Linked DNA regions of Lonchura striata. The protein of the gene in region 2 interacts with the protein of the main gene of each other region in a biochemical or structural test. Links are inferred from orthologs where the notes say so. Each region holds a gene or a part of one and is shown on either strand. Other genes may lie near its edges.

Region 1 (16,935 bases), on a different chromosome or scaffold from region 2:
TCTGTCAGTTTATGTATTCACTGTATAGTTCATACGAATAGTAATGTGTTAAATATATCATAGACTTTAACAAAATATTAAAATAGACACTAAAATACTTCTATGTAACTAACTCAGAAAATGGTGTAAAGCAATTATTCTCTTTCTTACATGTGCGGATTGGCCTCTCCAAGTGTTAAGATAACAGTGACAAGAAACAGAGCATAAGCATCCAGGAAAGATTTATTGACTCCGTGGTATCAGGTAGTGTGAAACAACAGGATAGAACTACAGGAAGAAATAAAATATATGGACCTAATCTACAGAATGTCCTGCAGACAAGTCAGAGGTTAAAACTTTACGAGAGTTCCTGGAACATCAAAAACTCAAAGGAATGTTTAGTGATGTACAAATTAATTGTGAGAAACACCTGCTCACTTAAAAAATTTTAAAAGGTTTATTCAACCTTAGCAAAAATATAACAAAAATACTAAATAAGGGGGAAAAAGCACCGAAAGCCTCCTGTGGCTGCCTACAATGTGGCTGACTCGTCTTCAAGATGAATGCTCTGCCTTTTATACCTCTAGCCTCTCCTAGAACCTTGTCGATCAAGTCCTTCCTTGTCCTTTCTCACATTCGGATTGGAGGTCAGGTGCTACCATAGCAACAAGCCGACCTTCCCAAATGCCCAGATTACCAAAACCATCCAAATAACACATACTGGGGGGGAGCACATTGCAGTAACATAATGTCGTGGTTTGACACGGAAAGATAATTTTTCCCGGAAGGAAGAGGTCAATTTAGATATTGACCAATTGAAAGTAGACACGCCTCTGAGAACACAGAGGGGTTGAAAGCAGAATTCCCAGGGGAACTCGCTCTCTTTGGTTCCGGTCAGCGTGCAGTGCAGACCTTCCCCCCCCCAGCCACGAGCTGGGTGGGGGAGGGGAAGCCCCCATGGCCTGATGGAGGTAACTCCGAAGGGTGGAGGGACTGGAACCGGGCTGGCCCCTGCAGATGGAAGGGTGGAAGAAATCTGGGATGTCTCCATTTCCCCCCCCCAGAGTTCCTCTCCCGAGAGGGAGAGAGAAAGCCGCAAGGAAGGAGGAGCGGGGGGAGCTGCAAGGTGCCCAGTTGTGTGGGAGTTGCTGGATGTCCGGGCATCGAGCCATCCTGGGAGTTCGGACTTTTAACCCTTTCTTGAGAAATGGAAGCTTTGTGAATTTTCCTTTCCCCTCCTCGGTTTGAAAGAGAGGAAGAGGGACACCTTGGACCCTGGGATGGGATGTTGAAAGGAGGAATTCTGGATGGGAGGGGGACAAAGAGTGGCTTTTGGCTGGACTTTTCCATGTTAGCCACAACCTGAACCAAATCTTCTCCTTCAAGAGGGACTGTGTTTTGGGAGGATGCCAGTGAGTCGAGAGACCTGCTTCAGCTGAGAAAAAGACAAAAGTGGAGTGAACAGAGGAAAGGTTAGGGGGTTTGTGGTGGCGCCCCCTTGCCCTGGAAAGGAAAAGAGAAGAGAAGAGAAGAAGATCTCTGTTCTTGAGCCCTCGGCCCCAGGGGAAAATGGGGGGGGACTGTGGTCCCAAACAAGGAAAAACTGAACTGTTGTTTTCTCCCCTCTTGGCAGGGCATCCTTGAAAGGAAAAATCCTAAAGGCAGTCTGACCATCCATGCATTGGTGGTGAGAGCACTGTGCATGGAAAGGAGAAGGGTCACCATGGCAAACTTTTTCTCCGGGCGGTGCCATGTGTGACATGGAAACACAGGATGTGGAGCTGTGTTTCTTGGGGGGGGGGGTCTGTGGCACAGGAGAGACTCTGTTCCCTCGATGGACTGAGTATCGATTGCTTGGAGGGTGGAAACCTGATTGGGGTCCAGATTGTGTCTCACTGTGGTTTGTTGGAGTTGGGTGGTGGGGGGAGGAATGTTTTACGAGGTTTTCATTTGATCTTTGTGTGGTTTTTTTCCCCCCTTCTTTAGTTTTCTCTTTTCTTTAGTAGTAGTAGTTTAATAAAGTTTTTTTCCTGTTATTAAGCTTGGGCCTGCTTTGCTCTATTCTAGATTCCACTTCACAGCATTCAAGGTAGAGATCACATTTTCATGGGGGCACTGGCATTGTGCCAGTGTCAAACCATGACATTTGGTTCCCTGACCGGGAAATCGATAAGATAAGATCAGATAAGATAAGATAAGATGGTGATAAGGTGAATGCTGTGAAATGGGATCAGGAGGAATAAGAGCAAAGCATGTGTTGGGTTTTGAGATGAATTGGGGTGGAGATTTAGTGTAAATTGCTGTTTTATGTAGAATGTGTTGAATGTAATTTTGATAATGATTTTTTTTTTCTTTTGTAGTCTGTGTTCTCAGAGGCGAAGGGTGGAATGTCGTGGTTTGACACGGAAAGATAATTTTTCCCGGAAGGAAGAGGTCAATTTAGATATTGACCAATTGAAAGTAGACACGCCTCTGAGAACACAGAGGGGTTGAAAGCAGAATTCCCAGGGGAACTCGCTCTCTTTGGTTCCGGTCAGCGTGCAGTGCAGACCTTCCCCCCCCCAGCCACGAGCTGGGTGGGGGAGGGGAAGCCCCCATGGCCTGATGGAGGTAACTCCGAAGGGTGGAGGGACTGGAACCGGGCTGGCCCCTGCAGATGGAAGGGTGGAAGAAATCTGGGATGTCTCCATTTCCCCCCCCCAGAGTTCCTCTCCCGAGAGGGAGAGAGAAAGCCGCAAGGAAGGAGGAGCGGGGGGAGCTGCAAGGTGCCCAGTTGTGTGGGAGTTGCTGGATGTCCGGGCATCGAGCCATCCTGGGAGTTCGGACTTTTAACCCTTTCTTGAGAAATGGAAGCTTTGTGAATTTTCCTTTCCCCTCCTCGGTTTGAAAGAGAGGAAGAGGGACACCTTGGACCCTGGGATGGGATGTTGAAAGGAGGAATTCTGGATGGGAGGGGGACAAAGAGTGGCTTTTGGCTGGACTTTTCCATGTTAGCCACAACCTGAACCAAATCTTCTCCTTCAAGAGGGACTGTGTTTTGGGAGGATGCCAGTGAGTCAAGAGACCTGCTTCAGCTGAGAAAAAGACAAAAGTGGAGTGAACAGAGGAAAGGTTAGGGGGTTTGTGGTGGCGCCCCCTTGCCCTGGAAAGGAAAAGAGAAGAGAAGAGAAGAAGATCTCTGTTCTTGAGCCCTCGGCCCCAGGGGAAAATGGGGGGGGACTGTGGTCCCAAACAAGGAAAAACTGAACTGTTGTTTTCTCCCCTCTTGGCAGGGCATCCTTGAAAGGAAAAATCCTAAAGGCAGTCTGACCATCCATGCATTGGTGGTGAGAGCACTGTGCATGGAAAGGAGAAGGGTCACCATGGCAAACTTTTTCTCCGGGCGGTGCCATGTGTGACATGGAAACACAGGATGTGGAGCTGTGTTTCTTGGGGGGGGGTCTGTGGCACAGGAGAGACTCTGTTCCCTCGATGGACTGAGTATCGATTGCTTGGAGGGTGGAAACCTGATTGGGGTCCAGATTGTGTCTCACTGTGGTTTGTTGGAGTTGGGTGGTGGGGGGAGGAATGTTTTACGAGGTTTTCATTTGATCTTTGTGTGGTTTTTTTCCCCCCTTCTTTAGTTTTCTCTTTTCTTTAGTAGTAGTAGTTTAATAAAGTTTTTTTCCTGTTATTAAGCTTGGGCCTGCTTTGCTCTATTCTAGATTCCACTTCACAGCATTCAAGGTAGAGATCACATTTTCATGGGGGCACTGGCATTGTGCCAGTGTCAAACCATGACACATAACTATACAAAATTTCTTTTAACATACATATAATGTTCACGCCTTAATTGTGAGATTCACTCATCTATAACATAATGAATATGCATGTAACCCCAGCAAATTAACTGTATGTAGAGAACATGATTTTAAGATACTCGTGTGCTCTTTGGCTGTTCACCAAAAAAAAAAAAAAAAGCACTCCGATGCTGAATTCTTCTTTTATCCTTATTAAACTTTTTAAAGTCTAGAAAGTGAACTCTGTTTTTCACATAAAACCTGGTTTACGTAAATTCTTCCTCTACCACAACTGTCATATGTTACTCTGGTCCATCTTTTGTTGTAGAAACAACACCTTGAATTTCAGCTCAGTACTAATTAAAGGGTAGATTCTCGGTACTAAAAATAATATATTTTCATTAGTTGTGTGCCATCAAAGTAGAAACTTAATGTTAGGATCCCCTCTGCCCCCCAGGGAACTCTCTCCCCATCTGTTGCCTAAGAGATGATAATGACCAGCACTTAAGAGAGACAAAAGAAGTGACTGAGGAGGGGAGAAGGAGTGCAGCTGCCTGCTGATTTAGCCGGGGGCTTTTCTCTTGGAAGGACAAAGATAGCTGGAGACTTTGCTGGGGGGTCAGGGGGCTGGGCTTTGCCGCGGCCCCGCCCCAGACCCCTGTCCCCAGCCCCGCCTAGCTCTCCTGCGGGGCGAGTAGGGTGAGTGGAAGCACCCGCCACTGTACCAGCTGGGCTTTGGAGAGTGCTTTGCGGGTCCTGAGGGCGCTGCTGATTCCAACGGCGAGGAAATGAGGAGAGGCACTTGTTGGGGCAAAAATCCGATGTTTATTGAGGTCCTGTGGATCCAACAGCACCGGAGGGGGCCAGCCAACAAGAGCTACTGAGGAGTGCTGGCAACATGTTCCATAGGGAGAGGGAGGGGGGCCGATCAGCCAGTGGGGAACAGACAGGAGTGACTCTGTGGGGATGGACATGGGGGGATCCAGTGAGGGGGAGACAGGGGAGGGGTCCCAGGCCCTCATCCAATCACTCGGTGCCCTGGATGGAAGTTTCCAGAGGTAGGGGAAGGGGCACCGACTGACAGACAAGGCACTTGGGAAAGGGCAGGGGACTGACTCGGCACCTTCCAGGGAAACCGACACTTGGGGAAAGGCAGGAAAACTCAGGGAGAAACCAATACAGTATGGGGGTACACTGGAACAAACCATGACAGAATAAAGATGTAATAAAGCATATAAAAACACAACTCCACAGGGCTTGGCTCTTCTCTTGCTCTCAGGATCAGAGGGGAACAGTCGAGCTGCTGCCGCCGTGTGGAGTCCAACCTGTTACTGCTGTGAAATACAAAGTTGTGTTTCATGACAGGCACATAAAGGCAACCTGTGCAGTTGTGGTTACGAAATGTGTGGAAGAAGGCCATGAGACAATTATAAAGATGAGTTCTAATAAACAACCGAGGAAAGCATGAAAGAAGGCTTTTGAACCAGTTTTTTGTTTGCAAATAACAATTATAAGTCTTGTTATAGATAAAAATTGATCCAGCCAAATTAAAAATTAAAAAATAAAAATTGTATTATTAAGATCGAATTATCTCTCAGCCAGCCACAAGGAAACAGACAGTGCCGAGCCCGGGATCGGGACTGGGTGTGTCACAGAGCAGATAGCCTCAGCAGAGGTTTCCCCGATGCCCACACACCACCCTCCTGGTACAAGCAGGCAATCCGTCTTTTCTTCACATTCAAAGTCCCACATATTCATAAAGTCTCTTTCCTCTGTGTTGGGATGGAACAATTCGGTGTCCAGTGCTGATGAATCTTCTTGATGGAGTTACGGGAACACGGCATTCAGATGTATCAACCAGGAGGATTTCAGTGATCCCGATCTAGAATAGATGGTTGCTGGATGATCAGCACCTGGGCGTTCCTGTATCACCTTGAGAAACGACCCATCTGTGGGTGAACCCCATGTATTAGTTTGCAAATGAGGTTTTGTCAGAAACCGGTTTTCGAATATGTGGGGGCACCTCCCAGTGCCAGCATGTGTACTTCCAACAATATAAAATATTACACTTATCATATTATACTGGAACGAATTACACTGACTACATATAACAGTCTTGAGCTGTTTTGCGATAAGAACTTTTGAATTATAACTTTAGAATGTTGCTTAGTATTAAAGTTATTAAACTGTAGCTTTAGAATGTATAACTCTTAACCTGTTTTGTAATAAGAGCTTTTGAATTATAACTTTAGAATGTTGCTGAGTACTAAGGATTTTTAAGCTGTAGCTTTAGAATATAAATAATTTAAACAGAAAGGGAAGGGACCCTATCCCAAGCTCCTGGAGAAGGAAGATGGACATCAAGGTTGCTGATAGATGATTTCAAAATGGGAAGTTGGACATCACTACCATAGATTAATGATCCCCAAAAATAGAAGTTGGACCCCACCATCTGGACACACATACTGGGATATACACAATAGGTTATAGAAATTGGAAAAGAACCAAATATCACCATCATGTTGATGATGAGGTATAGAATTGTGATGTTAAAGGTAGAAACGGAAACTGTTGAAAGCTCATGTAGAAACTGGGAAAAGCTTATGAATCTGCATTACTATGATCAATAAATACCAGCAAGACCAACAACCAGTGTGCAGTGGGAGGGGAAAACCCCCACCACTGTACCCTGCGCTGTGTTTGCTCATACGTTACCATATTAATTAATAATTTGAATTGCTGCTTGATATATTGGCTGAGTCATGTGTCTCATTTCTAACACTGCTTTCTTCCTTACTGTGGGTGAGCATCTGCTCCTAAGAGCAGCCATTGAGCTGGAACCTTAGTAATGCCTGATCTGACTGGAAAGGATCATCACCATCTACTAGGGTGCCACCAGGGAAAACCCAGGACCCCTGGAATCCTGAGGGTGTGTCTCCTGGGTATGTGTGGCAACTGCTATGGAGAAGCCCAGCTGCTGCTGCCCAGCCCACTGCTTTCTGCCACTGCCTTGGGCTTTCGTGCTACACCCTTACCCAACACACTGTGTCCACCCAACTATTGCAGCTCCTGCTAAAGGCTGCAGTTTTCTGCTACATTTTTTTTGTCACCCTGGGTGACGAACTTCAGCCGTTCTAGCCAGCGCTCCGAGATTCCTGCTACAGCCCATTTCTCCATCTGGACGGGCACCAGGACTGGCTTCCCCTGTGGGTTTGTAAACAGAGCCCCTTTTCTCTCCGCCCTCCCGGCTGAATTTCCATCACCGTGTGGAGAAGCGGCTGACCTTGCGCCACGGCGCCCCCTGCAGCCGGGGGGAATCACTGCATGCGCACTGCCAGGCCAGGAGCCACCAGTGCCCCTGCCGGCTGTGAGCAGAACTGCACCAAAGGGGAGGGTGTCTGCGGCTGAGACAAGGCTGTGATTGGGTTTCTGGTATTTTGTTTGTTGTTGCTGCTGCCATTGTTGATGTTTGTTTGCCTTGTTATACATATATATCTATATTTATATCTATATATCTACTAGTAAAGACACGCTATTCCTTTTATCCTATCTTTTCCCAAAAGACCCATAATTTCAGAGTTATAATAATTTGGAGGGAAGGGAGTCACATTTTCTCTTCCAAGAGAAGTTCCCACATTCCTTGGCAGACACCTGTCTTTCAAACCAAGATACCTAAAAAATACTTATTCTTTCACAAAGCGAAGTTCCACCTGTCTAAGGGAAAAAAAATCCCCAATAGTTAATTTGAGGTCATATGGTTATTGCAAAAGAATCCTGATTTTCCTTTCATAGTCTCAGTGTTTCTATCAATTTCTCACTCCTTGTGCCTTTACTTTGCCTACTTGGAAAGGTAAGCTCTTCAGCAAAGTGCCCTTGCAGCCATAACACAATTGCATATGTATAGCACAGTCAGTTTTTAGTTTGCTTTTAGTGCTAAGCAAATAACAACTTGAACTCCTATGCTAGATGCAATAAACCCCCAAAAGGGTAGAATAAGCAAATATTTTGCTTGCCAACTTTGACCTGGAAGTGGTATTTTAATTTTTTCTCATGCATGGCAGCACCTAGCATTCCTGCCATTTCTTGACTGATCTCTAGACTTGAAGTTATTTATGAATTTATAAATACAGGAATGTATCTTTTAGTGATTGATTTAAGTTAAGGCAATCACTGCCTTTCAGCAGGAGCTTTAACACAGTCACTGGACCTGAACCAGGATTCTGTTGTAGAAAGGAGGATGCACTTCAACTGATATCCCCTCCCCTCAGGGATGCCTGCTAGACCTGTTGGGATTACAATCAGAAGAGTGGGTAATGCTATGAGCTCATCAGTCTCTGTGGTTCAACAGGCTTTAGTTTGTGTCATGTCCATTGTGTCAGTTTCTTATGTATGCGGGAAAAATGCAAGAAAACTTTATAAATGTTTTTACATGCTCTCTAGGTTACAGAAGATTAGAAGTTCAGTGTAATATGGAATTAGTGAATTAGTGAATCAGTGAATAAGTCTTACCTCTTTGCCTGCCTTGCTTCTCTCCCTGTTCACCTGTATATTTTTATTCAAAATATTTTCAATGCAATCTTGCATTTAATAAAGCACACTCTTGTGTTTGTTGTAACATAGAACAAAACAGTCATAAAACTTAAAATTCTTAATTATAAGTGAGATGTGATATTCCCACTGCAATTAGGCTTTCTGGGTAGGGTTAAAGTTCTTTCCCTTTTTGCAGTATGAAGCTTTTAGGGTCATTGCTAGTCACGACCTTGGAATTACACTCTTCAGGGCTCTAAGCCAAATGAAGGTGTGGGAAGCCTTTTCCAAATCAACCCCTTATTTCTTTCTCCTGCCAGGCTGTTCTCAGTTCTCAGAGAATAATGATTCCTGCTGTCTTCTTCCAACTCTACAGCCCAGCTGAGCCCAGGATGTGGCAGACTCTAACTTCTGTGACACCTGTTGAGGGTGCTGGAGGCTACCGCCCATAATTTGCTGGAGCTGCTGTCCGTAATTTGGTGTGTGTTGCTGTTGATTTGGGAAATCTGATTAAATTCGGTGGTTGTGCTGAATTTTCTTTGAAGACTTGAGATGGCCATATTTGGCCCTCTGGCTTTTTCTTCATCCCTGACTGAACAGATCCTTGTCTGCTTTCTCTGTAGTAACTACGGCTGCTTCATCTCGGAAATACGACTACCGCGGCTGTGACGGGTCTCTAACGCGGCTCCCGGAGCCAGCGCGTGTCCGGGATGCGGCGCGACCCGGGCCCGCGCTGGCCCCCGCTCGGTGTCTGCGCGTGACGCCGCAGCGCGGGGCCTCGTGCGCCCCCATCGCGCCTCGCGGGGCCCCGGTGCGCAGCGCTTTGTCTGCGCGGGGCTCGCGACGGGCCGCGAGCTGCGCCGCCCGCGGCTCCGGCGCAAGAAGCACTGCGGCGCCCCGCCTCCTCCCAGCACGGGCAGCTTGCGTCCCCGATCTAGCGGCTCTGGGCGGTGCCGCCGCGCTCCGCCCCGGCCGGTGCCCGCGGACCTTGACGCGGCGTGCGGGGCGGGGCAGCGCCCGGTGGCGGTGTCAGCAGGGCCCGAAGCGGAGGCGAGCGGAGCGGGGTTGAGGGCTGTCGGCCGGCAGGATGCTGGAGATCCAGCTAGACGATGGCGGCGTGGGGGGGTATCCGGGCGATGATTACTGCTCGGGGTCGGTGATGTCGGAGCGGGTCTCGGGCCTCGCCAACAGCATCTACCGCGAGTTCGAGCGACTGATCCACTGCTACGACGAGGAGGTGGTGAAGGAGCTGATGCCGCTGGTGGTGACGGTGCTGGAGAACCTAGACTCGGTGCTCACCGACAACCAGGAGCACGAGGTGGAGCTGGAGCTGCTGCGGGAGGACAACGAGCAGCTGCTCACGCAGTACGAGCGGGAGAAGGCGCTGCGCAAGCAGGCCGAGGAGGTGAGCGCCGCCGCCTCGCGACTGTTTTGGCCACGGGCGGGGGCCCCAGTGCAGGGCAGTGGGAGGGCCGAGGCGGTGGCGGGGGCGGCTCAGGGCTGCGGCCTCGGCCGCCTCTCGCAGACCTTCGACCGACTGCCCGCTCCCCCGCGGTGGACCTGGTTCAAAAGGAGGCGGGGGGGGCGGCGGGCGCCCCGGGGCATCGGTCGCCGGTTCCTTCTAGAAGCGGAGGGCGGGGGCGGGACCGGGCGAGGCGCATCCCCTCCCGCGGGACGCGGTGCTCCTGTCCCCGGGACGGCCCCGGCAGGCCCGGCCCAGCCCGGCTCCTCCGCCGCCCCGCGGGGCCGGGGCCACTGCGGCTGAGCTGCCCCTGACAGCGGGAGGGAAAAAAGCCGAACCACAAACCGCAATAGCTGCAATCCTGTGGAATTCTTGAAGAATTAGGATTTTAGTTTGAAATGCCAACAGCATCCGGAGGGGTCAGCATAATTTGTGGTGTAAAATATAGTTTTTAAAATGGGTAATTTGTGTAGTCATCCAGCATTCTCAATGTCGGCTGTAAGCTGTTTCGTTGCAGCAAGGAATTGCCTTTAGAGTATAATATCTTACTTTTGAAGCTTATTTGTATCAAAACTGTGCCTTGAGTTTTAATAAAATCGTTCCCAACTCGGTATCTGCCGTTTCCTGGAGCGTGGATGCGCTCTCGGGAGAGCGGGGGCAACGTTGCTCAGCTGGTGGCGTTGTTTGGAAGTGGCTCATGAGAAATCCAATCCCTCTGATGGAGAGGAAGAAGAATCCTCCGGTTACAAGGACTCGGATGTAGACAAGACAGAGGGGAGGTGATCTGCACGCTGTCATCTTGCTGCGTCTGCGCCTGTCCCTGGTGAAATAGAACATCCTTTCAGCCTTGAAGGATGGGGGCCATAGGGATTGCTGTTCAGCTTCTTGGAGTGACAGTCTGTGAGCTAGGATAGAGCTTTGTTGCTGAAAACAGTCCATCCTAACCACATCATCCCCACCACATCATCTCCTTTAAACTTCTTTAGAAGTGGGGTTTTTCTGTCTTTAAGACTAAGGAAGAGCAGAAGATTTAAGATTCACTTGATTTCCTAGGAGTCAAGTTCTGGTTTGATATGGGGTAATTAATAAAATAAAATAAGTGGTAATAATGAAATAGTTGTTGAACTGGAGAATGGTGTAAAGCAGATGTGAGATTTTCATAGACATGTTTGTGTTGCTTAATAATCATGGGCAAGAAAGTTGGTAACTCAGTGGGGAGGACACTTGTCGTCCATTACTAATACTGAAAGCAAGAGCCAGTCAGTTAAAAGTTTCAGTCCCAAGTTTTAATTATGTATTAATAGATTAGTAAATGATCATAAAATTCTTTTGAATGCTTGTAGGGGTCAAAAATTATTCTAAGTACATGATGCTTATTTGTGTTGTGTAGAGACAGCATTTTGCAGCTTCTGAGAAATAATTTTTAAAATTTACTCTTTATGGGAAAAGAATGGGACTGCCAATGGGGGTTGGAACAGTCCAGTTGGAATCATCTTGCGTCTTTTGACTGGGGTGCATTTCTGTTCTGGTCTTAATAGATACAGGATGTGTTTTCTGGAAGCAAATGTACTGATGGCAGTTAAATTCCCCGCAAGGAAACTTTGGAACCATGGCAGAATACCATTTACCAATGGTGTTTTTAGAGAGTGAGATTTAAAAAATGCCAGTGATGATGATGATGAAGAAGATACTCTGTCATTGTTACACATAGCTCAGTGTAAGTGGGAGAAGTGTCTGCAAGGAGGCTTGTTATCAAAAGGAATAGATAATGTGTTTCTTATGAGAATAAATGAGAATTCTGCCTCTACAAGCCCTTATTACAAGGTCGTACATGGAATACATGGCTGCTGTTTTCCTCCATATATAACAAAGTACATTATTTCTCTGTACCTGTTTATCCCATGCACTGTTTACTCTGCAGTAAATTGTGTGTTATGGGGGTGAAAGTCTATGTATGACAGGGAATTCTGCTGGCTACCAGGTTATTGTACACAATCAAAACCCAGAAAACTTTTCTTCTCAGAACTTGCATTGCTGCTCTGAAACACTGCCACAGTGACCAGGGACTGTCCATGCCACCTCTCCACCAGCATCAGTTTCCTAGGCTGTGACTCAAGTCTTGGGTGGGATCTTCACTTCTAACTGGGAAGATCCTCCCCTGGAAACAGGATTTGACCTTAGTTTTGATTCCTCTCTGTGTATGCGTGCCAATTACTACAATTAAATTGACACTGAGAGGCTGGAGATGAAAAATGGATCTGTTCTCTTGCAATATCCTGTCAAAGGACCCTGAGTTATAGTTACTTTATATTAATTTATTAAATTCAAAGTAACTGGAACCACAGGTGGGCATTGTTCTGGCATTAAAATGTGCATTGTATTGGCTGATTACCACTGTGAAGAGCCATCACACCTTGCTGTTCATCTTTATGCAGCAGTTGTGCACAAACAGACTGTACAGGTATGGTTTGTTAAATTAGGGCTAATACTACAATCATAGAAACACAGAATAGTTTGAGATGGAAGGGTCCTAAAGATCATGTAGTTCCCACACCCCTGCCACAGGCAGAGGAACAACCTCCTTTTCATTAAGGCCATAAAGGAATGTTTCCTTTTGAAAATTACTGTCTTAAGACAATTCTGTATGTTGTCTTTTAAATCAATCTTTGCCAAAAACAAATGAATGCATTACTTTCTAAATGCTTAGGTTGTAGGGATTCCATGTTTTTCACTTGTCCTAAAATAGGGCAACAGAAACATCTGGGCAAGTGGATTTAGAATCGAAGTTCCTTAGCATGAGGCAGTGCTGTCAGTTGCTGTCGTTACGGAGCTCAGTACAGATTATTGCAATTTTCCATGACCTCCCAGCTACTGAAGATCTGGGATTGCACCAGATTTTTTGTGATTTTGTTTTCTTCCATCTGTTTCATACGAACATAGAATACATATGTGTGAATGTAGGGCCATTATTGCTTTTGCGGTGTGGTGGTGTGTGGAATCACAGACTCCTCTTGTGTGTCTTTGATCTCCTGAGATTGAATCCCCCACCCTTGCTCAGTCAGGGGCAGCTGGAGCAGGTTGTCCAGGACCTGCTTAGACTCTGTGCCTTTGTTTAGAGAGTTCCTACAATTGACAGTGGCTCACTGCATTGGCCTACTATCAGCACAATGCCCCATGTGAAAGGTTGGCAGTGTTAGGATGCTGAGCACTCCTTGCCTTACAAAACCTGTAGCAATAAAACTGAATGGGATTGTAAGCTAAAAATCAATTTAGGCAAACATCTGGGGAGAGCAATTTGAAAGGATACTCCAAGTTTGGGATGGAAGATTTCTTGCATCATTTCACTACTGTTTCAGCGAAACAAATTTACAGAAGACATTTGAAGACTGTTGAAGAGGACCAGAAGAAAGAATCTCAATCACTTGCTCCTTTGTTGTGTGACAAAAAAAGAGGGGGAGATGTGGGAATCCAGGGCATCCCTCTGGCTGCCCTGGAAGGCCTGGGACCCTGGCAGGGGGTCAGGAACCCCCCTGGACAGTGCCCCGAGAGACACTGTCTGTGATCTCTGTCCATGGAAAAGAGTTTTCAATCTTACAGGATGAATTACAAGCTCTGAGTGTTTTATATAAGTAATAATTAGTGTGACGGGGTGCAAAAGTAGAATTTTAGGATTCTAGATAAGGGGTTAAAAGGAGGCAAGATGGAGGAAATTTGGCGTGCCTTGTCCTTTTTCTTCTTCTTCATGTCTTGCCATGTTTCACTGTAGTGCTGGCATTTTTCTATTGGTTTAGACTGGGGACACACTCTTCAACGTAAGTGATAGATATTGGCACGTTATTGTAAATATAGCACACATAGTTTCTGGTACATAATGTTTGTAACATCCCACTGAGGGACAGAGCCCTGCATGCTGTCCTGCTGCAGGGCAGACTGAATATGTTATAGATAAGCAAGAATAAACTACCTTGAAAACCAGCACAGATGAATTATGACTTCTCTGGCAGCGGGGCTGAAAGATAGACACTTTCTACAATCTCGGAATAATTTAAATACCACAGAGTCTGTCACCATCCCATCACGTATCTTCTAATGCAGGACTAGGGTTGATGTTAATACAAATAACTGTAAGGAGATGATAATTCCTTCCTTCCCCTGAAGGTGGACTGGGAGCCATTTGTTGGGGGATAACTCAGTGATGCCTTTTCTCTGTCCAAAGTGAGGGTGGTGATCTACCTCTGCCAGCAGCAGGAGTGTTGCCTGCCATTCTGGATCAGGTGCTGCCTCCCTCGCTCCTGCCCACAGGATACCAGGGCAGGGACTGCTCTCTTCCCTTTCCTGGTATCTTGACAGTGTTGTGGCAGTCTGCTCTTTTCTCTTTGTCTCATCCTTTGTGCATGGCTCTACAGGTGAAGGGCAATGCAGGCTTGGTTGGCTGTGGAGTGGGGTGACAGCACGGGTGGAACTCAGGCTGGCAGCCAGGAGGCATCCTGAAGGATTTAGAATGTCCTGCACTGTTCTGGGGACCTTAGCTTATCAGCCAGTGCTGACTTTGAGCTGTGGAGGTGTGTCCTGCTGCTGGTTTCTCCCCAGCTGGTCTGATGAAGGTTACCCAATGCACACTGAGAGCTGAAGTACAAATGCTTCGGGGTTGTGCTCCGAGAGATGCAGAAGGAGCTTGTCCCTCCCTTGCCTTTTTTTATCTTTTCCCCATCAGAAGATTGTGTGCAGAATAAAATTTTTTGGTGAAAACTATACATGTGTCTAGCTTACTAGAGGTGATGTTATAGGACATTGGCTGTTGGAAAGCCACTTGCTATAAACATATGATCAGTTATTACAATTTTTCTTAACAAATTGTATGAATTCCTCACTGATGGGATGAAATGCATTTAGAGACTCTTCTGTTTACAAGTTCTGTTAATTTAAAGGAATGTAACAGACAGTTTGTGATTCTGTTTTGCAATAGAGACTGGCCATATGATGCATATTGCTAAATCACTTCTCTGTGAGGAATCAGGCTTTCCACATATAATGTCAATTAGTCCTTGCTATTTGGTAACCTTTACTCTCACTAATCTTGGAGGGGAAAAAATCTGTGTCCAAACACAGATCCTTCATACAAATCCTCACTCAAGCTCATGGCAATTACTAATATTCATAAATACCAGCATGTTATTAAAAATTGCCTTGAAAGTAGAACAGTAAAAAGCACTGTGAGTTGCAATTTATTTAAAAAGCAGTTCAGGGTAATCTGAATATCAGTTGATAATGATGATTAGAGGTGGTGGCTAGGTTTCTCCTCAACAGGGTTAACTGCATAAGTCAAATTGTGATCCATGGGTAAGCTTTGATGAGAAACTTTTTTCTCTGGTGCAGTGGAGCAGCTACTGCCTGGTCCCTTTCTGTTCACAGCTCTGCAGGTTGATTTGTCAATGATACTTTCGGGATTTCCTCAGGTATATGTAGGCAGAAGTTACTACTGGAGTTTCAGGAAGCAGTTGTAAGAGAAAAGCCAAGAAGACTGTGAGGATTTGGCTTTACTACCATTGCAGATGGATGGACCTTCAAGCTCATCTTGTTCCAGCCCCTGCCATGGGCAGGGACACCTCCCCCTGGACCAGGTTGATCCAAGCCCCATCCAAACCCTGGCTTTGGACACTTTCAGGGATGGGGCAGCCACAGCTTCTCTGGGCAACCTGTGCCAGGGCTTCCTCACCCTCACAGGGAATTATTTCTTTGTTATATCTAACCTCCTTCAGTTTAAAGCCATTCCCCCTTATCCCAGCAAGACTGGAGAGGGATTGCAATAACTGAAGTTTCAAGAAAAACCCCCAGTCAGTCTTCATTTATCTGAAAATGATACAATCTTCCATCTAGCGCAGGCACCTTGGCCGCTTTCATTCTTTTTCTTGTCCACTGGGAAGGATGCAGATGACCCACATCCCCATCATCATTGGTTGTCTTGGTGCCTCTGATGAGCTGTAGCAGGCTGGATCCTTTCATGCCATTGAGGAGGAAGCAAGGGCTGTCCCAAGTGAGAGAAGCTCTATCTTGCCTTGCAGGACAGGATTCAGTGGGAAGCACTGAACCTTTTGCTTCTGAGTTGGATTGTGACATGGCCTCCTTTGTTCATGAACACCTGCTGGTTTCTACCTTCTGTCCCAGTGCCCTGCTTGGAAGGGACTTGCTCAAAGCAGGACATGATGTTCAACTGAGTCTGATAAAAACAGTTTCAGGCTCTTATTTATCTTTCTTCTTCTGCCTGGGTCTTGGCCATCCCACTTGGTGGTACGAATGTGAGTTGCTATTCCATTCCAGAGCAGACCTGCTTGTCCCCCTCAAGACAGGAAGCACCAACAGAGGGCGCAAGGCTTTGTGGAAAGGTATTCCCATTGAAACTACGTGCCAAGTTTCTCCCAAAACATAATTGTACATAATAATTGTAAATACTAATTGAAAACAGGAAAATTTACTGATCTGTTAATGACTGGGTATTTTCAAGGCATATGGCCCAAAAGCTTGTTAGCGTTTTGCCCTCTTTGGGTTTGGGATTCTGTGCTTGTAAAAGGACTGAAAGACCTCACTGGCGATACATTCACAAACAGCATGTATGGGAGAAGTGTACAGTGTGACGTACCATACATTTTGAAGAACTTGAGCATGGAGAAGTACCTTCCCTTCCCCACAATAAAGAGAGGTGTCATTTCAGTGTATTTTACTATTTTCTTTCACCAGTCAATGGTAGCTTTGGAAGAGAGCTCAAATACATGTTTTGGTTGATCTAAATCAGTTATCTCTTTATTAGCAAAACTGGAGAATTGTACTTTGCAGGGGAGAACAATGTCTTGGCAAGGACATAATAAAACCATTCAAGAACATCAAGTCCAGTCCAGCCTTTGAACTCATTGCCACCTTGTCAACCAGACCAAAGCACTGAATGCCACGTCCAGTCATTTCTTGGACACCTCCAGGGACAGTGACTCCACCATCTGCATGGGCTGCCCTGCTGCTCCCGGAATGGAATTGGGTTGTGTGTCAGGTGATGTCAGCTTCCTTCCTTCTTTCCTAGGTGATTATGGTTGCAGTGGTAGGTTGTTCCCCCATTCTGGGGCCCTGCCCTCCCACCATCGTGCTCTCCTTGAGCTCAAGTACCCATGGCTGCTTTGCTTCTCACTTGCACGTGGTCTT
Region 2 (15,881 bases):
AGTCTTCCTGCTCTCCTTTTTGTTTTCAAGCTTGAAACTGCTGACTTGAGACTCAAAACCAAAATTGCAAGATCTAAAAATATTTTAGGCTTGTTTAAAAATCAAGAAGCATTGCAGCCTAATCTGTATATTTGGAGTATTTTTTGGACACTTTGCTGACTGACAATCATTTAGTATTTACAGCAGAAATTTCTTTTAGCTAAAGAAGAGTCACAACCACATCTCCATGATGTGATCATGGGATCAATATTCTCCTGTATGTGGATAGTTTGCAATGATAAAAAAATATAGTGCCTAGCAGAAAATTGCATTCATTATCTGCTGGATGGAAAAAAATGCATTGAATTGAGAAATAAGGAAAACTCAGACTGAAGAGAGGAATACAAGAGTTTAAAAGTGACCATGACCATTAAATTTACTCTGTTTTTCACTTGTGTTTCTTCCTTCCCTCTGCAGTTTGAGGTCAAAGTTACACTTACTTTAATAGCTGAAAGAATCTAAAGCTAAAGTTCTGTATAAACAAGACAAGACTAAAGTGGGAATAGTCTTCATTAGTAACACAGACTATTTGGCAAAATATATGTGAATTCCTAGCACGTGATACTCAGAAGTTCCAGTCTATAAACAGTTTTAAATAAGGATTCCCACATTACCCTATTTCCATTTAATGTTACTTTCATAGGGTAGGAAAGAATTCTCATTCACATTTTTTCCAAGCACATTTAAGCTCTTTGTGAGATCCTTTCCTATCTCATCAAGTTATATGTGACACCAGACTTAAAAGGGCCATCACACTACAGTATTCTAACAAAAAGTACAGCTTCTCTGTGAGTACAATACTCAAATTATATCAAGTTTCCTAGCATGAAGTCACTGTTTTCCCTCCTGGAAAAAAGCAATACCACCACAAAGCAGGGCGCACCCAGGAGATGTGTTTTCTTGGGACATGCCTCCCAGTTTGAACAACCATGCCACTTACACTGAAGACCTGCTACCATTTATTTCAGCTTACTTCTGTGTAGTGCACAAGTCATTGCTGAATGTTACAGTAAGTCTCTGATTTAAACCCTTTATGCCTGTGCAAAAGGAAACTCAGAGTGGGAGAAAAGCAACTGGCCAGACAGTTGGAGAAATTGTTTTCCTCCCAAACATGAAAGCACTGATATTTCAGTATTCACCCAAAAGATGTTACATGTAAATTAAATGTTATACGTTAATGCCTTTAATGTTTAATGACTTCCATATCTTAATGGCTATACCTGTGAATTAGTATCAAATCAGTAACCATCAGGGTCTGCATGAATTAGCTGTAAATCACAGGGCAGCAGCAGACAGAGGAATAATTTTAGGGGAAGTGTCCCTCTGTGATCTGATAAATCAGATGTATGACAAGCCTCAGTCTTAGCAAATATGAAGAACTCCACCTAAATCTCTTATTTTGGAGATTGACTAGAAGATTTAGGAAACCAAGGACAAAAAGGGAAAAAAAAGATGTCAGGAAGTTAAAGACAAAAGTTATTTTGATTCAGTCCAAAATGGATTACCAGACTTTAGATGTACTAATACTTCGGAACAAAGTGCAGTCCGTTAAGTATGTGTACTTTGTACATAAAATACAAAAGGTATATCCAGTTTCTCTCCTGGCCTGTGTTCTGTGTGAGCTAGAAATATCCTCAACATAAAAACTGAGTTACTTTTTCATTTTCCTAGAGCTCTCATTTACCATTTTCCCTAAGTATATATATTTTTAAAACTACTTATTTTGCAACATTTTAGTATCACAGTTAAAATTACATGGAGCAATACCAATGGAGTATCCCACTAATATAATGAGAAAAAAAGCATAAATTTAGACCTCTCCTAGCTAAAGTGACACAGGTTGTATTAAGAATTCCTCATAAAATAAATTAAATCTAGACAGAAAACCACAGAAAAACTTTTCCTATTTTTTATATTAAACATGGGATGATAAAAGAGCTATCACATCTGTGTGTTACCCTAATGTTGTGACATTTTTTTCAGCCAAACATAGCAGGATAGCACTCATCTTACAATGATTTTTCTACAAAAAACTGGGAAGTAAAATGTATCTTTCCCTTGCATAAAGATTTTAGGAGAAACTAAGCTGTTGCACCTTGTTCAATTTGAGCTATTTGACATGAAGATGAAAATTCATGCAATGTTTCACTCTGCTGTTCCATAAATCAAGTAGTTTAAAAGAAGTCAATAAATCAACTAATTTCTTCTTCCTCCCAACACGATGACCTTATCACTACTTGCATTTAATTCTGAAGCAGAGATCCAGACCAAGTAATTTGGCTTAAAAATGCTCTGCTTCTACTGAAAGGAGAAACACTTTGAAGCACCCAAATTCCTGGACGCCATCTCAACCAAGCATAGCTCTGATAACACCAACACCTAGAGAATGTCAGTACTATACTAAATCTTTCCCAAATCCTATATGACCAAGATCTAGGACCCCCTCATCACTCAACCCACTGAAAAAGAATGAAATATGGTGTTCTCATTTTGACTGCTTGTCACCGATCAGCAGGGAAAGAGGGGTAGATAAAAATTTTTAAAATAAATGCATGGTCTCACAGAAATGCACTCTTTCCCTACTTATATAACTTATTATGATTATGAAAAGGCCAAGAAGACATGGGCAGGTGTTGTTAAGGAGCTGTTCACAGCACATGAGTCATCACACTTATTCTGCAGATTTTATAGATGAAGACAAACTGCAGCCTGGAATTCAGAGCATGAACAGCCCACCATGTGTTGTGATGAAGTCAGTATCACAGAGTCCCTGAGTACATCTGTTTGCTCCCCTGTTTATGGAATGAAAACCCACATCAATAAACATTTCTGCTGTTACCAAGTAAGTTTTGCCCAACAAAATATGGGCTGGCACTAAATTGTGCAGAATGGATTGCTGCAGTCTAAAAAACATTTGAAAGTGTTTACCTTTAGCTGGCCCAGAGGTGTGGTGCCATACAAGAGACTAAGGTTCAGGATCAGCCTAAAGACTCCCACGTCCTGGGCCAGTGGAGGCTGGACACAAAGCTGGGGTGACACACCAAGGGAGAGCAGGCCAGCCCAGCCCCTCACACAGCATCCCTTTCTGGTTAATCCATGGAGTGACAATGACACTGATTTGCCTCATCCTGCCAGTTAATGGCAAGGCACTGCATTGATGGCTCCTAGAAATGGACAGGAGTGATTGGGAATAAAAGAGGGGGAAGAAAGGGGGCCATGATGAAGAAACGAGTAAAACCCAGAATCTCTCATCACTGTAATACCTTACACTGCAATGTCAAAACTACAAGGGCAATGGGAGAACTAGAAAGAGAAAAAAAGTGATTAATGAGAAAGGAAGAAATTTGTTTACCATTCTAATTTATGCAGTTATTCAAATATTAATTTTCCCTAAAAACAGAACAAAAAAAAAGAGGTTTGCACATGAACTATAGGAAGCAATTGGTTTAGAATTTATTTAGTCCATAACCCTGTAACAAGAGAATTTGTTATCAGTGTTTTATGTTCTGGTACCTCTATCAGAAATACATGCAAACTTTGCTTTATATTTATAGCTTTTAATATTTAAATAGAGTAATTATTACTTACCAAACAATGCCCTGTGCCCCTGATCCTATGGGCTTCAATTGCTGGTAACGTTTTAGTACAGTGAATGTTGAATCTGCAACTTGAACACTGTAAAACTGACTATCACATTTACTGTCAGTCATGGTGTAGTGTCATGTAGTTTTCTCTCTCAGGGACCTGGCAAAGTTTTCAAGATCTTAAAGAAAAAGAAAGAAAACAAATGTTCAATATCTCACTAATTTCATGCAGACAAGATGGGAAATATTATACATATTTTAATACATATGAATTTTTCAACAGCACACCATTAAACATTCATTCATAAACAAACATTTTCAGTTTTGTGCATTACCACTACTAATGAAATATACTTGTAGACAGACAGCAATTACAGCTTTCACAGCTTAAAGGGAATGTGTGTTCCTACTCTAATCCCTCAAACAAAAAGCATCTAAGTAAACAACACTAAAAACAAAACCACCCAAATACAACTCTCTACTCCTTGAAGGCAACTCCATAACTTAGAACTACTGCTCTGTGCTAGGACTATACTAATTTCTGCATTACAGGAAAAAAAATCAAAAAGTATGTTATTCAAACACTGAGAATACAGATAAAAGTGACAACCGACATCCATGGAGTCCATGGACAGAGGGAAATGGGGTTTTAATAAAAGACTTTATTAAAATAGCAAAACAAGTTTCAAACAAAACTGCCCCCCAAATCCCTGTGCCTGCTGCAATTTCTCCAACATCCCTGCCAGCCTTGTTCAGTAAGAAATTTCAAGGAGGGCTCTGCCAGGCAACCCTTCCCTGATCCAGACCTATGGCAACACATTCTCCTTCCCAATTTATACACACCACAACACCCTGCACTATCAGTCAGAGTCCTTGTTGTACTACAGAATAAGACTTTGTGGTCCTTGTAGTACTACAGAATAAGACTTTTGTGCTACAGTGTAGAAAAGACTTTCCTGCCACAATAGTGTAAGTTAAATTAATCTGTCAAGAATGAGTAAGAGGTAAGTAATTACATCAGAGAGTACAGTAATGGACTCAACCTCTTTAGCTCTGAAGTGCTACAGTAACAAGAGCACAGACCAACAGTTTTCCTGGGTGTCCATCCCTCTTCCAAACCTTACAAGTAAATTACCTCAGTAATTGCTGAAGAGCTCTCTAACAAATTCTCCCCTTCATAATTTTGCATTCACTATGACAGATAGTGCCATTAGAGCCCAGAGTGATTTGCACAGGCAAATCACTTGAAACTTGTTCCTTAAAACAGGAAATGCAAGCAGCCCCTTCCCCCGGAGCATCTGTGCTCTGTGCTGTCTGCTTTGGTTACTGGAAGAGCTCTCTTCACTGGCCCCACCGAGTATCTGTGAGCCAATGCAAAACAGAAAAGCCTCGAGGACAACCCAGACACCCACCCTAGAAGGGCACAAAGCCACACAAATAACACTTAGTTCCTTCAAAAATTAGGATTTCTGTCTTCCTCAGTGCATGTAGGAGGCAGCAGCATCTTTTCCATGTTTTAAGTGAGCTGATGAACTCAAGGAATCTGCAGTAAAATACGAGGAAGACCTCCAAGACCTAATAAAGACTGAGTTTAAACCAAACTGTAATAGTTTTAAGAGATTCTCAAGAAATGTCTAGAGTCCCTTTTACCTTCTAGTTTCTCAAAATCTCTGCAGCATTTTAAGAGGCAGACATTCAACTGGGTCATCTCCGGCAATAATTTAGACAGTCAGTTTACCTGACATTTCCTCTTAGAAGCTTTAGGAAAAAAGCAGAGGAGAAAGGATCAGCAAAGGGAGAATGTGGGCTACCAACTTTCTGCTCTGTCACAGGGAGAAGGAGGAAGAAAACAGTATCTCCTACACAATAATATTAGAGGCAGTCAGATGCAGCTCCACAGCCAGCTAGCACTAACATGAGACCACAGGATGCCTCAAGGGCAGCTCCCAGACTTTCCTGGTACATCACACCCTTCCTTCCAACCCTTTTCATTACTCCACAGCTATGCACTCTGAGGTACCAAGTGTTTTGATTAATAGTTCCTAGGCACCTATGGTATTTTCACTGAATCTTCAATATTGTAAGAAAAGTACAGCTGGAAGGTCAAGATCCTCCTCTGCAAGGACTTAAGAGACAAAACCAAAAAAGTACAGATACCAAGTTACAGGATATCAACTTCTTAGCTACACAAGAACAATGCTGTACCTCTTCAGGAATTAATGAAAAAAATTTCTGTAACAGGGACAAAGAAATATGGGAAAACAAAATTATCCTGATCCTGAAAAACTCTTCCCTTTAAGAATCACTGTCTGCACAAAGCCACCTTGCAAAAATCACTTGGAGATGAGCATAAGCTCCTTAGAAAAGCCCCAAAGAGAGAAATGGGATATCAGAACACTCAAGTTTTATGTATTTGAACACATTTACAATTCTCTTTGCAAAGCAGCTCTCCATGAGTCTTGACTTTCACTCAGGCTTCAAGTTGGCTGGAATGCATCAGGACATATATTACTTCAGACGTACCCACTACTGTAAAATTAGCTGCCATGCAATTGTAGCTGTTCACAGCACTTCAGACAATCCATTCTGGGGGCAAGACCCACAAATAAAAATAGATTTCCTGCTGTGCAAATAAGAAGTATATCTGTCAAATAAGTTTCTTAGTATTTACCTGTTATTCTCCTTCTAGAAAAATAACCAACACACCAAACCTGCCAGTAGTAGGCTTATACACAATTGCAGTGAGAAATCTTTAGAAGCTGGAAGCAACTGCATTACAGAATGCATCCTGCATTAAACAGATACTTCCCTAAAATGTATTTATTAAAATGGCAATTTATTATTAACCAGATTTGTACTCTGGATATCTTCAAGTCAAAAGTTTATGAAACAGACTGGGCACACATTCCCAGGGCTGTTTTGGTTACAGAAATGTTATACTGACAACAAAACACAAGAACAACATGAAGCTTGCCTGGATTTTTAAGCCTCAAGCTAAAATTCTACTGCTGACAATATTCACAATGAATAGATATACACACACACGTGTATTTATGAAAACATATGGAAAAATCTCCCCCCATTCTCTTATTGACCTTTGCTAAAGCATTTCTAATTCAGGTGTGCCCTTTTAAGTTTTATCACCCAATAGCATCAAGGGTTTTTTTTTAATTTTTACAGCAGTATATATCAAAAGGAAATAGTCCAACTACAAAATCACAGTGAGCTAGACCTCATTCCTCTACTGACTCTTTAGAACGAAAGTGTAACAAAGCACTAGCTGGGTAACCCCCAAGGATTACAGCAGTTCAGAGACAGTTTGCAACTGAAAACTCTTGGAAAGTAGACCTTTTTCTTTAAGCAGCCCACATTACTACTGGCCAAACGAAGATTTCACCACTACCTGTTACAGTGAATAGCATTCAGCTATTACACACAGACGCACTGAAAGGATCTCAGAACTCTGCCAGGGCAAGCTGGTGTAAAGAGAGAAAAAGTTTAAACATGCATGTGCTGCAAGCAATTTCGCCGTTCATGTAGGAAGCGAGCAGGAAGATTCTTCCCGCATCTTTCCTAAAACTTCTGCTAAGAAATCGCTACGGCTGCAGAGAGCCCGGGCTGGCCGCGGCCGCGGGACCCGCGGCGCTCGGCGCTGCTGCGCTCCGGGACGGGGCTCCGGGGCCGCCGAGCCGGGCACGGCACGGAGGACGGGGCAGCAGGACGGGCAGAGGCGGCCCCGCGGGGCCGGGCCTGCGGCTCGGGGAAGGCGGGGATCGGCCGCAGGAGGAAGGGCCCGGCCCTGCCGCTGCCCCGCGTCCCTGCAGCGCGCCCGGGCCCGGGCAGCGGCCCGCGGGGCGCCCCGGCTCTGCCCGCGCCGCGGGACGAGCCGAGCGCTCCGTCCGGCGCAGGGCTCGTCCCGCCCCGGCCCCGCCGCCCCAGCACGCCCCTCGCGGCCGCCCCCTCACCTGGGTCGGACGCGGCGGGACCGGCCCCAGCCGCCGCCTCCCGCTGCCCCAGCCACAATGGCCTCCCGGCGCTCCGCACGGCGCCGCCCCTGACTGACAGCCGCCCCGGCCAATCGCAGCTCCCGCCGGAGAAGCTCAGCCAATCGCGCTTGGGGGTGGATCTTACTGACCACTATATAAGGCAGGGCGCTGAAGGACCGCAGTGACGGGGCAGTTCGGCCCCCGCCCCCGGCGGGGTGTCGCTGCGTGATGTCACCGTTTCTCGATTGCCATGATGTCATGCATGACGTCATGGCGCCACGGGAGTTATGTCACCGCCTGACGTCAGCCTGTCACGATAGTCGTGATGTCACCTGACAGCAGTGCTGTGGCGCCCATCCTGCTGCCGGCTCCTCACTGCTCCGGCAGGCCGGCAGAAGCCGTGGCTGAGGCGAACCCTGCCCTGCACAAGCACCCCAGAGTGGCAGCGGTGGCATGGCCCGGTGGCAGCGGTGACATTCCCGGTGGCAGCGGTGACATTCCCGGTGGCAGCGGTGGCATGGCCCAGTGGCAGCGGTGACATTCCCGGTGGCACCTGGCACCCCGGCACAGCGCACCACAGCAGGCCCGACCCCGGGGCTGCCATAGCCCTGCAGCACAGCCTCCCCTCAGCTTTTCCCGAGGGATGGCTCCGGAGGGAAGGGATTCATTCCCTCCCGGAGCTATTTTCAACCCCACGCAAAAATCAGAAGCCTTCTCTCCATTACGTACCCCCCGCCCCGACACGAGGAGTGCTTGTTTTTAAAACAGGTGCTGCCTAAAAATAAACTCAATTTGCCACCTCTCCTAGGACTGATGAGCGCTTTCATTTCTGTGATTTCTGTTCCCACAGATGATTTTAGAAAAATGTACCTGTAATTTTTTAAATAAATCAATTTAATGTCACAAATAGACCAGATGACCTCAATATGCCTTTATAGTTCCACTTTTTAATATGAAGAGAATATTACTTCTAGATCAAGAGTAAAACAGGCCTTTTCATGCCAAAACATGTTAGATACAGAGTTACATATTCTTGGCATTTAGGTCACATTAGTAGTATATTTTTTGTTATGATTTTGGTTTTATTATTGTTATTAAAAGTACTAGGGAAAGTATATCCTATTATAATAAGCTAGTGTAACACTTTCAAGCTCTTAAGTAAACATTCAAACACTTTTTCCATTTAGAGCCAAGCCTGCAGAGGAATATCATAAACTTTACTGTTAAACTAACTTTACATTTTAGTTAATAAAATGAAGAAAAATTAAATACTATGCCTTCTGGCCATTTAGAAATAAAAACTAAACAAATGAGCAGAGAACTTATTGTGTGTATCTGCCTTTTTTTTTTTTTTGCAGGTTTATAGGTTCTTCACTACTGCAAGTTGGTTCACAACTATCAGTGTGTTTTTGCACATCTATATGCTACTAAAATAGGACTTTCTTCAGACTTGAGATAAAGGTCATCAAGTTTAAAAAAAAAACAAAAATGAAATAAATAAAAACCCAAACACACATACACACACAAAGAAACAAACCACAAAGTAAGAAGAATTATATAATCTTTTAATTGCATTGTCATTTCATTGTACCCTCTTCAAACAAAAATATCACTTGAGAGACATCCAGTTCCCTTATTCTGTTGCAGTATACATGTTATGCAAATAAAAGCTAGGGTGGCATACAAAACAAATGTCGTTCTGACTTTTCAGAACAGTTAAAAGAAGCAGAAATTGAAAACATAGCTGGGAATTTACAGCCACAGAAGAACTTTGCAAATGACTTTTTAAATATGAAACACAGATTCAATGGGGGAAGGGAAGCTGGGAAAGAAGAGGGGACAACAAATTTCCAGTTTGAGGCTGAAGGAGGAAAATCCCTAATAACTGTACAGAAGTATCAACACGCTCAGTGTTTACATTCTGAGCATTACCAATGTTACAGATAAGCAATGTACTAAAAAAATAACTTAAAAAAGCTATACAAATTGTACTTATAAATACTATATCTTTGAAACTAGTTATGTAGTGTGGGCTAAAAAAATGTTCACAGTTACTCTGGAGAGAGCTGTATATATATATATATATTGCACAGTAAAAAAGTTCATTCAGTATACCATGTGTAAACAACTTTTATCTTCTTTGGTAATTTCAGGACTTAGAGGAGTATTTGGTGGGAGCAAAAGCACTTGGGTACAAGGCACATCAAAAGCTTTTAAAGCTGCAAGATAAATCCTTCTGACACTTTCCAGTTAGCACTATCATTCTCTTTAGAAAAAACATTTACCTATCAATTCAGAACAACACATTATACAAGTATAACTCAGAGGTCTGGTGACAAAGACATCAGCTGTTCTTGGCTGTCACTCTACAGTAACAGATTTGGCCAAATTTCTTGGAAAGTCCACCTGGAATGAAGAGACAGTCTTTCAGTATGACAGAGTAATACTGGCATTCTGCATTTGAAAGTTCCTTCAGTGTGATTTTTCTGACTTCCTAATGAGTTCTGTTTGATTCTATACACATTAACACACACAGCAGGCTATTGATCTGCAGGTAATGACTTGCAGCTGAATTCATCTGTGCTTCCAAAACCCTCCTAACAAAAACATATTCGTTTTGCATAGGATACCTTTCCAAAGCAGTCATCATTGTCAAACTGACACATCAACAAACCAAGGTGTACAAAGCACTGACCTATTTTAAGTTAAAGTACAATATCGCATTTCAAGATTAGGTTCCCTGGAAAAGTCCCATTTGCACTCTTAACTAACCAAACAGCTAAAGAGCTTTGCAATTTTTTAGAAGGATACTAATTGAAAAAGACAAAATGGAAGAATTGGCACTGAAATGTCACCTCTATAAGCACACTCACTATGAGATTCACTAGCTGTTTTCATAGCTAGTAAATCTTAGATATGCCATATAACTGTGTCTGTCAATTTATACTGGTAGAAGGAAATTCAAAACTGCACTAAAACAAGTGTTAAATATAGAAAACACTTACATCATATCCTCTGAGAACAGCCAGGTGAAATGAAAGTAACTGTAGAGGAATGACACTCAACACTCCTTGAAGGCAGTCAACTGTATGAGGCAGCTCAATAGTTTTGTAGGCAAATTTTGAGCTTTCAGTATCTTCTTTAGAACACAGAATGATTGGGCGACCCTGAAAATAAATTTTTGCATTGTTAAGTGAAGAGCTAGCCTAGAATTGCTTTGAAATATTGTTCACAGCATGCCTGTATGTGTTTGAAGACATTCAAGTAGCTAACAAAGGCAATGCCAGTCTTGCATAATGACTCTTGACTTTCCCTATATTGTAAGATTTGAATGTTTTCACCCTGTAGAGATTTAACATTATTCCATTTGCTTCAAAACAAAAAAACCCCAAAACAAACAAGCCATCTGAAAGCAGTTTTCACTGCTGATATTAACCTGTAATAAAAACCTTCAATGCAGATGTAGCATCTTATTTATAACTTAATAATTAACAATAATCAGCAGTACATCCCTTTCCAGGTGCACAGTCAGCAGCAGTGCAGTGGGCACAATCTCTTTTCCTATGACACAGGAGAAGTTAATTAGTTGAACACTACCTGCCGAGCAGTGATCTGTTGCAGAGCATTCTGGCACTTGGTGAAACAAGGATCCTTCATGATCACCATGATAACAGGCATTTGTTTATCTATTAGGGCCAAAGGCCCATGTTTCAGCTCACCAGCCAAGATACCTTCTGAGTGCATATAGGTGATTTCTTTTATTTTCTAGGAAAAAAAAAAAAAGCCTCAAATTATTACTAAATCAGCTGAGAAACAAGAGCCACAAAAATCAAAACACCCAGACTGTACCGCTGCCACTTAAATTCATGTACCCAGCATCAAGCATTAGTGAAAGCACACGGGTGGCTGCTGGGGTTTGTAGCAGGCTGTGGCCAGCAGCAGAGCTCGCCCATGCACATGGAGTAACCAACAAGGAATTTTAGGAACCAAACACCCAGCACAACCTTGGCTACTGCAGTCTACCTTTAACACACCAAACTCCTCTGAGTGATGGGTATGTGTCCATTTTACCAGTGTTCATAACATAATTAATGAGTTTCATGCATGAGCATCTCTTCTCAACATCAGCACACTGTTTCTGATGTTTTCAAATGGGTCAGCAACTTAAATTGCTAGTTTCCTGATTTTAAATAGACTAATTAAACACCGTGTTTATTATGTGAAAGAAACAAGAAAGTGGTATCACATCCAGGTTCACCTTATGTGTATGTTTAAATACTTCTAGTTATAAATAGTTTTATTGCAGTAGAATTAAATTGTAATGAAATAATAGAAATAACCTATTTTGCAGAATCCACAAAATATTATTTTAAATAATATCAAAGAATATTGAGAAGTTCCTACCAAAGCTCCTTCCAGACATGTGGCGTAATTATACCCACGGCCCATAACCAGCAATGATCTCTGTTTGTACAGTTCAAGAGCCAAATCATGTATCTTCTCATCCAAGGACAAGACTTCTTTAATCATTTCTATTGAGGTACAGAAAAACAAAAATTGATTTTTTTAACTGGAAAAAATAGTTCATTTGTACTGAATGAACAGAATGTACAGAATGTTCTAATTATCGAATAGGACAAATACACTTAATGTAATTCAACCATTAACTTAGCAACTTTGACTGCAGTTTAAGGATATTTTCTCCAGCCTTACTTACAGTAATAAATTTAAAACAACTATTGGTTTAAACAGTGTTCATAAATCACATTTGAATTTCTAAAGGAAGTTGTTAAATTTCCATTTGAAAATCACCTTGAATTAGTTTCATTTTATCTGTCCTGATTTAAAGTGGGAGGTTTTAAAAATTTCAAATCATGAATGTAGGAGATCAAGTAATATTTCTCATACAAAACTACCTTATTTTAATTAGAAAACCCACCCCGTGAAATTTCCAATCTTCCTGCCAAGTTTCTTGGAAGGGCACTTTTAAAATTGGCAAACAGTGGAGAAATGAACAGTCCATTTTTCTCATATTGTCTGCCTTTCAGGATGAGGGGGAGAGTGAAACTTAAATGAAAAAGAAATATCCCTGAGTAGTATTTTACACTGCAAACATCCCCTATGCCTCCTCAAACCCAAAATATCAATATACCTGGCAATGATTTTAGTCCACTTATGATTTCCTGTCTCCTTTTCTGCAAGGAAATTCTGTCCTCAGACATCATTAGGCCGAACATTACAAGAGACACGAATTGGCTGGTATAGGCCTGCAGACAAAACAAAACCATTTAGCAGCTAATTCTGCAGAGAGTGAATATGATCTCAGGTTGAAGTGCTGCAATTAAAATTTGAGTTGTATTCCACAGGGCTGAAGGGTGAAAGCCAAACACTGAACAGCAGTTACCTTTGTGCTTGCCACACCAATTTCAGGCCCTGCATTGATGTGCACACCACAGTCAGTCTCCCTGGATATTGAACTTCCAACTGTGTTTGTGATGCCGACTGTCAGAGCACGGCGTTCTTTACAATACCTCAAGGCCATGAGTGTATCTGCAGTTTCACCTGGAAAACATTCACACCTTCACTTCAGGTTGGCAGAGATAGTAATGATTCCTGAAAAGCATCAAAGCCTACACAAGTGTGTTCTAGATAACTGTACCCACGCTTACATGATGCAAAGTGCAATGGAGAGCAATCTTAGAGTGCTCACTCAACAGCAAATGCAGCTCACCTGACTGGCTTATAAAAAAGCACACATCATCCCTGAATACAGGTGTGTTTCTATCCAGGAAGTCACTGGCAAGTTCCACCATCACTGGTAATTCAGTTAATTCTTCCAGGACTTGTCGAGTCTGTATTCAAGCAGAACACAATATTTGTTAATATTGCCATCCACTAACATTTGGACATTCTACAGGTCAGAGAAAATCTAAATGAATTCTTATTAGAAAAGCTGGTAAGTACAGCTTACCAGAACTTTAAAACCAAGGTGGAAAAAGTTAATTTCTAGCATGGTAATTAATGGCATTGGAGCATTAATAAAGAATGTGGCAATAAGTAAAGCTAAATAAAAGGGTGAGACCCCTCAATGAAAGACAAAGTCTGAGATAGAAGAAAAAGCAGATGAAAAGCTGTTGTCTGAAAGCCCAGCAATTAAGTTATAAATGCATTTCGACCAAGGCTGGGAACATACAGCCACTGCAGCGTGGTAACTGGTCCCACAGCCAATAATGATCAGTCTTCGGCATCTTCTGATTTCTTTCAGATGATCCTTCAGTCCCCCCAGCAGAACTGCAAACAAATAAATATACAACGGTGGTTTTGATTTTCTAGATAGCATATTTACAAATTTCAAACTTAGTGAAGTTTGAAAGGCTGTTCTCCTTTACCTGTGCTGCTCTCAAAATTCACCCTGCCTCTCATTGTGTTGACAACTGATTCCGGTTGTTCAAAGATTTCCTTTTGCATGAAGGCACTGAAGTTACCTGTATAAAAACATGACATGACAATACTTAGGTTTGTTACTTTACATCTATTCCAGTTACCAAGAGACCTTTTAAGACTAACTTGACTGTGTTAGCCTAAATAAAAGCTTAGAATAAGCAAGAAGAAAAGAAGGATGGATAGGTCACTTTATCTGGTAGGTTCCATTTCCCAGTACTGACAAGGTAAATAAATTCCTTCATAAGGAAACATCTGTGCTCCCCTTCAATTCTTAATTTATAGTCAAACTTTGCCAACAACTACAACATGTTAACATTAGTTACATTTTCACTAGATACTGCAATGAATAGAAGTATCTATGACTTTTCCAAGGCTAAAATGGATAGGGTCCCAGGCTGCCCATTCTCTCTTGGTCTCAAAACTTGGAATTGTCAGCTCCCAGTACAAACGGTTTGCATATAAGGTAATTGTCACAACAAATTAACAGTTTTCTGCTTCATCTACTACACAAACAGTAACTATCCATTTTGATGATACTAATTTACAGATGTTTCAACCCACCCTTCATGATTTGCTGCAATTCCATCTGCAAGGTCTGGATGGCCCGGGAAGGATCATCACTAGCTGAACGCTCCAGACGGTGAATCGAGAGCTTCCCATCAGTTACAGCTGCAATGTCATCATCTTCTAAGAAAATCACTCTGTTGGTGTGCTCAATGATAGCACTACAGAGAAAAAAACAGAAGCAAGACAAACCTGACACATCAGAGTTGGTAATAACAAAGCAATTAAATACGCTACGAGCACTTCCAGCCCTGCCTCTCTTCCTTTTGGGCAGAACTGCAGCCAGAGCCATCCTAAAGGCAATGGCTCCATCTGCTGCTCCTCCTGCACCCTCACAGCAACCCACAGCAGGAGGCTCAGCAACCACTGCATCCATTCCTGCTGGTCTGAAGATGCTTCCCAGTGGCCTTGATGGATCCCGCTAAGGTTCCACTCTTTTTCCCAAGATAAATGTGTGCCTGATGTCCAGGTTCCTGCCCAGCTTGGAACTACACCTCTATTTTCCTCCTCCAGTATCTGTATTGAAAATATCACAACCCCGACTAACCTATAGTCTGCCCAAATGCTCAGCTGATGAGTGCCCATTTGTACCCAAATTACTTTTTTACACTGGATGTATTTCACATAGAGGTCAGCAGCTGGCAGATATTGCACTTGTGAAGGTCAAGGCAGCTTAAATTTCCAGAACTATCTCACTTATTAAAAAAACAAAAAAAAAACCCCAAAAAACCAAAAACCAGTATTTTCAGCAAAATTGAAGTACTTTTACTACCTTGCATCTGAAGCAAAGAAGAATTCTACTGCCTTATCCCCAACAGCATGAAGGCAGGTTGAGCTGTCCAGTCTTTTCATTTGGGAGTTGCAGATGTTCTTCACGTTCTCAATGTTGCCTATTAAAGAAATGAGACATTTTAAATGCAAACCCATTCTGTTCAGTTAAGATTACAGACTACACAGCTTTAGGGTACCACAGTTACAGAAATAGGTTGGGGCATGGGACTTTCACACGAACTACACATTCAGTGTATAAAAATTTCCCCAGCCAAGAAGCTATTTGGGGCATCAGCTGGTAGCTTTATGGTACAAAAACCAATTAACCTAATTTCTAGTCATAAAGTGATGGTAATTTTAGTTCTTAAAAATAATGTATTTTGATTTATCAACTTACATGTTCTATACAAAACTGGAATCTGTTCAGTTGAGAGCTTGTACTTGCTCCTAACCCCAATGAGCAAAGGACTCCCTCTCCTAGAGAAAGGAAAAC

Evidence for each region.
Region 1: the proteins of MAPK9 (region 2) and MAPK8IP3 form a complex in vitro, tested with the Homo sapiens proteins (2 studies listed by BioGRID). The link is inferred for Lonchura striata from reciprocal best matches to the Homo sapiens genes MAPK9 and MAPK8IP3.

Annotation. Positions count from the first base shown.
Region 1 is NC_134618.1:1,658,688-1,675,622, reverse strand, and holds the start of MAPK8IP3 (C-Jun-amino-terminal kinase-interacting protein 3), read left to right. Parts: upstream 1-9,239; 5' UTR 9,240-9,372; coding exon 9,373-9,690; intron 9,691-16,935.
Region 2 is NC_134617.1:7,224,306-7,240,186, reverse strand, and holds the start of MAPK9 (mitogen-activated protein kinase 9), read right to left. Parts: upstream 7,714-15,881; 5' UTR 7,589-7,713; intron 3,803-7,588; 5' UTR 3,750-3,802; coding exon 3,628-3,749; intron 1-3,627. Other genes in the region: GFPT2 (glutamine--fructose-6-phosphate aminotransferase [isomerizing] 2), read right to left, coding at 9,971-10,015, 10,615-10,776, 11,207-11,374, 12,014-12,141, 12,762-12,876, 13,014-13,171, 13,341-13,461, 13,803-13,900 and 4 more. UniProt on the Homo sapiens protein: Serine/threonine-protein kinase involved in various processes such as cell proliferation, differentiation, migration, transformation and programmed cell death.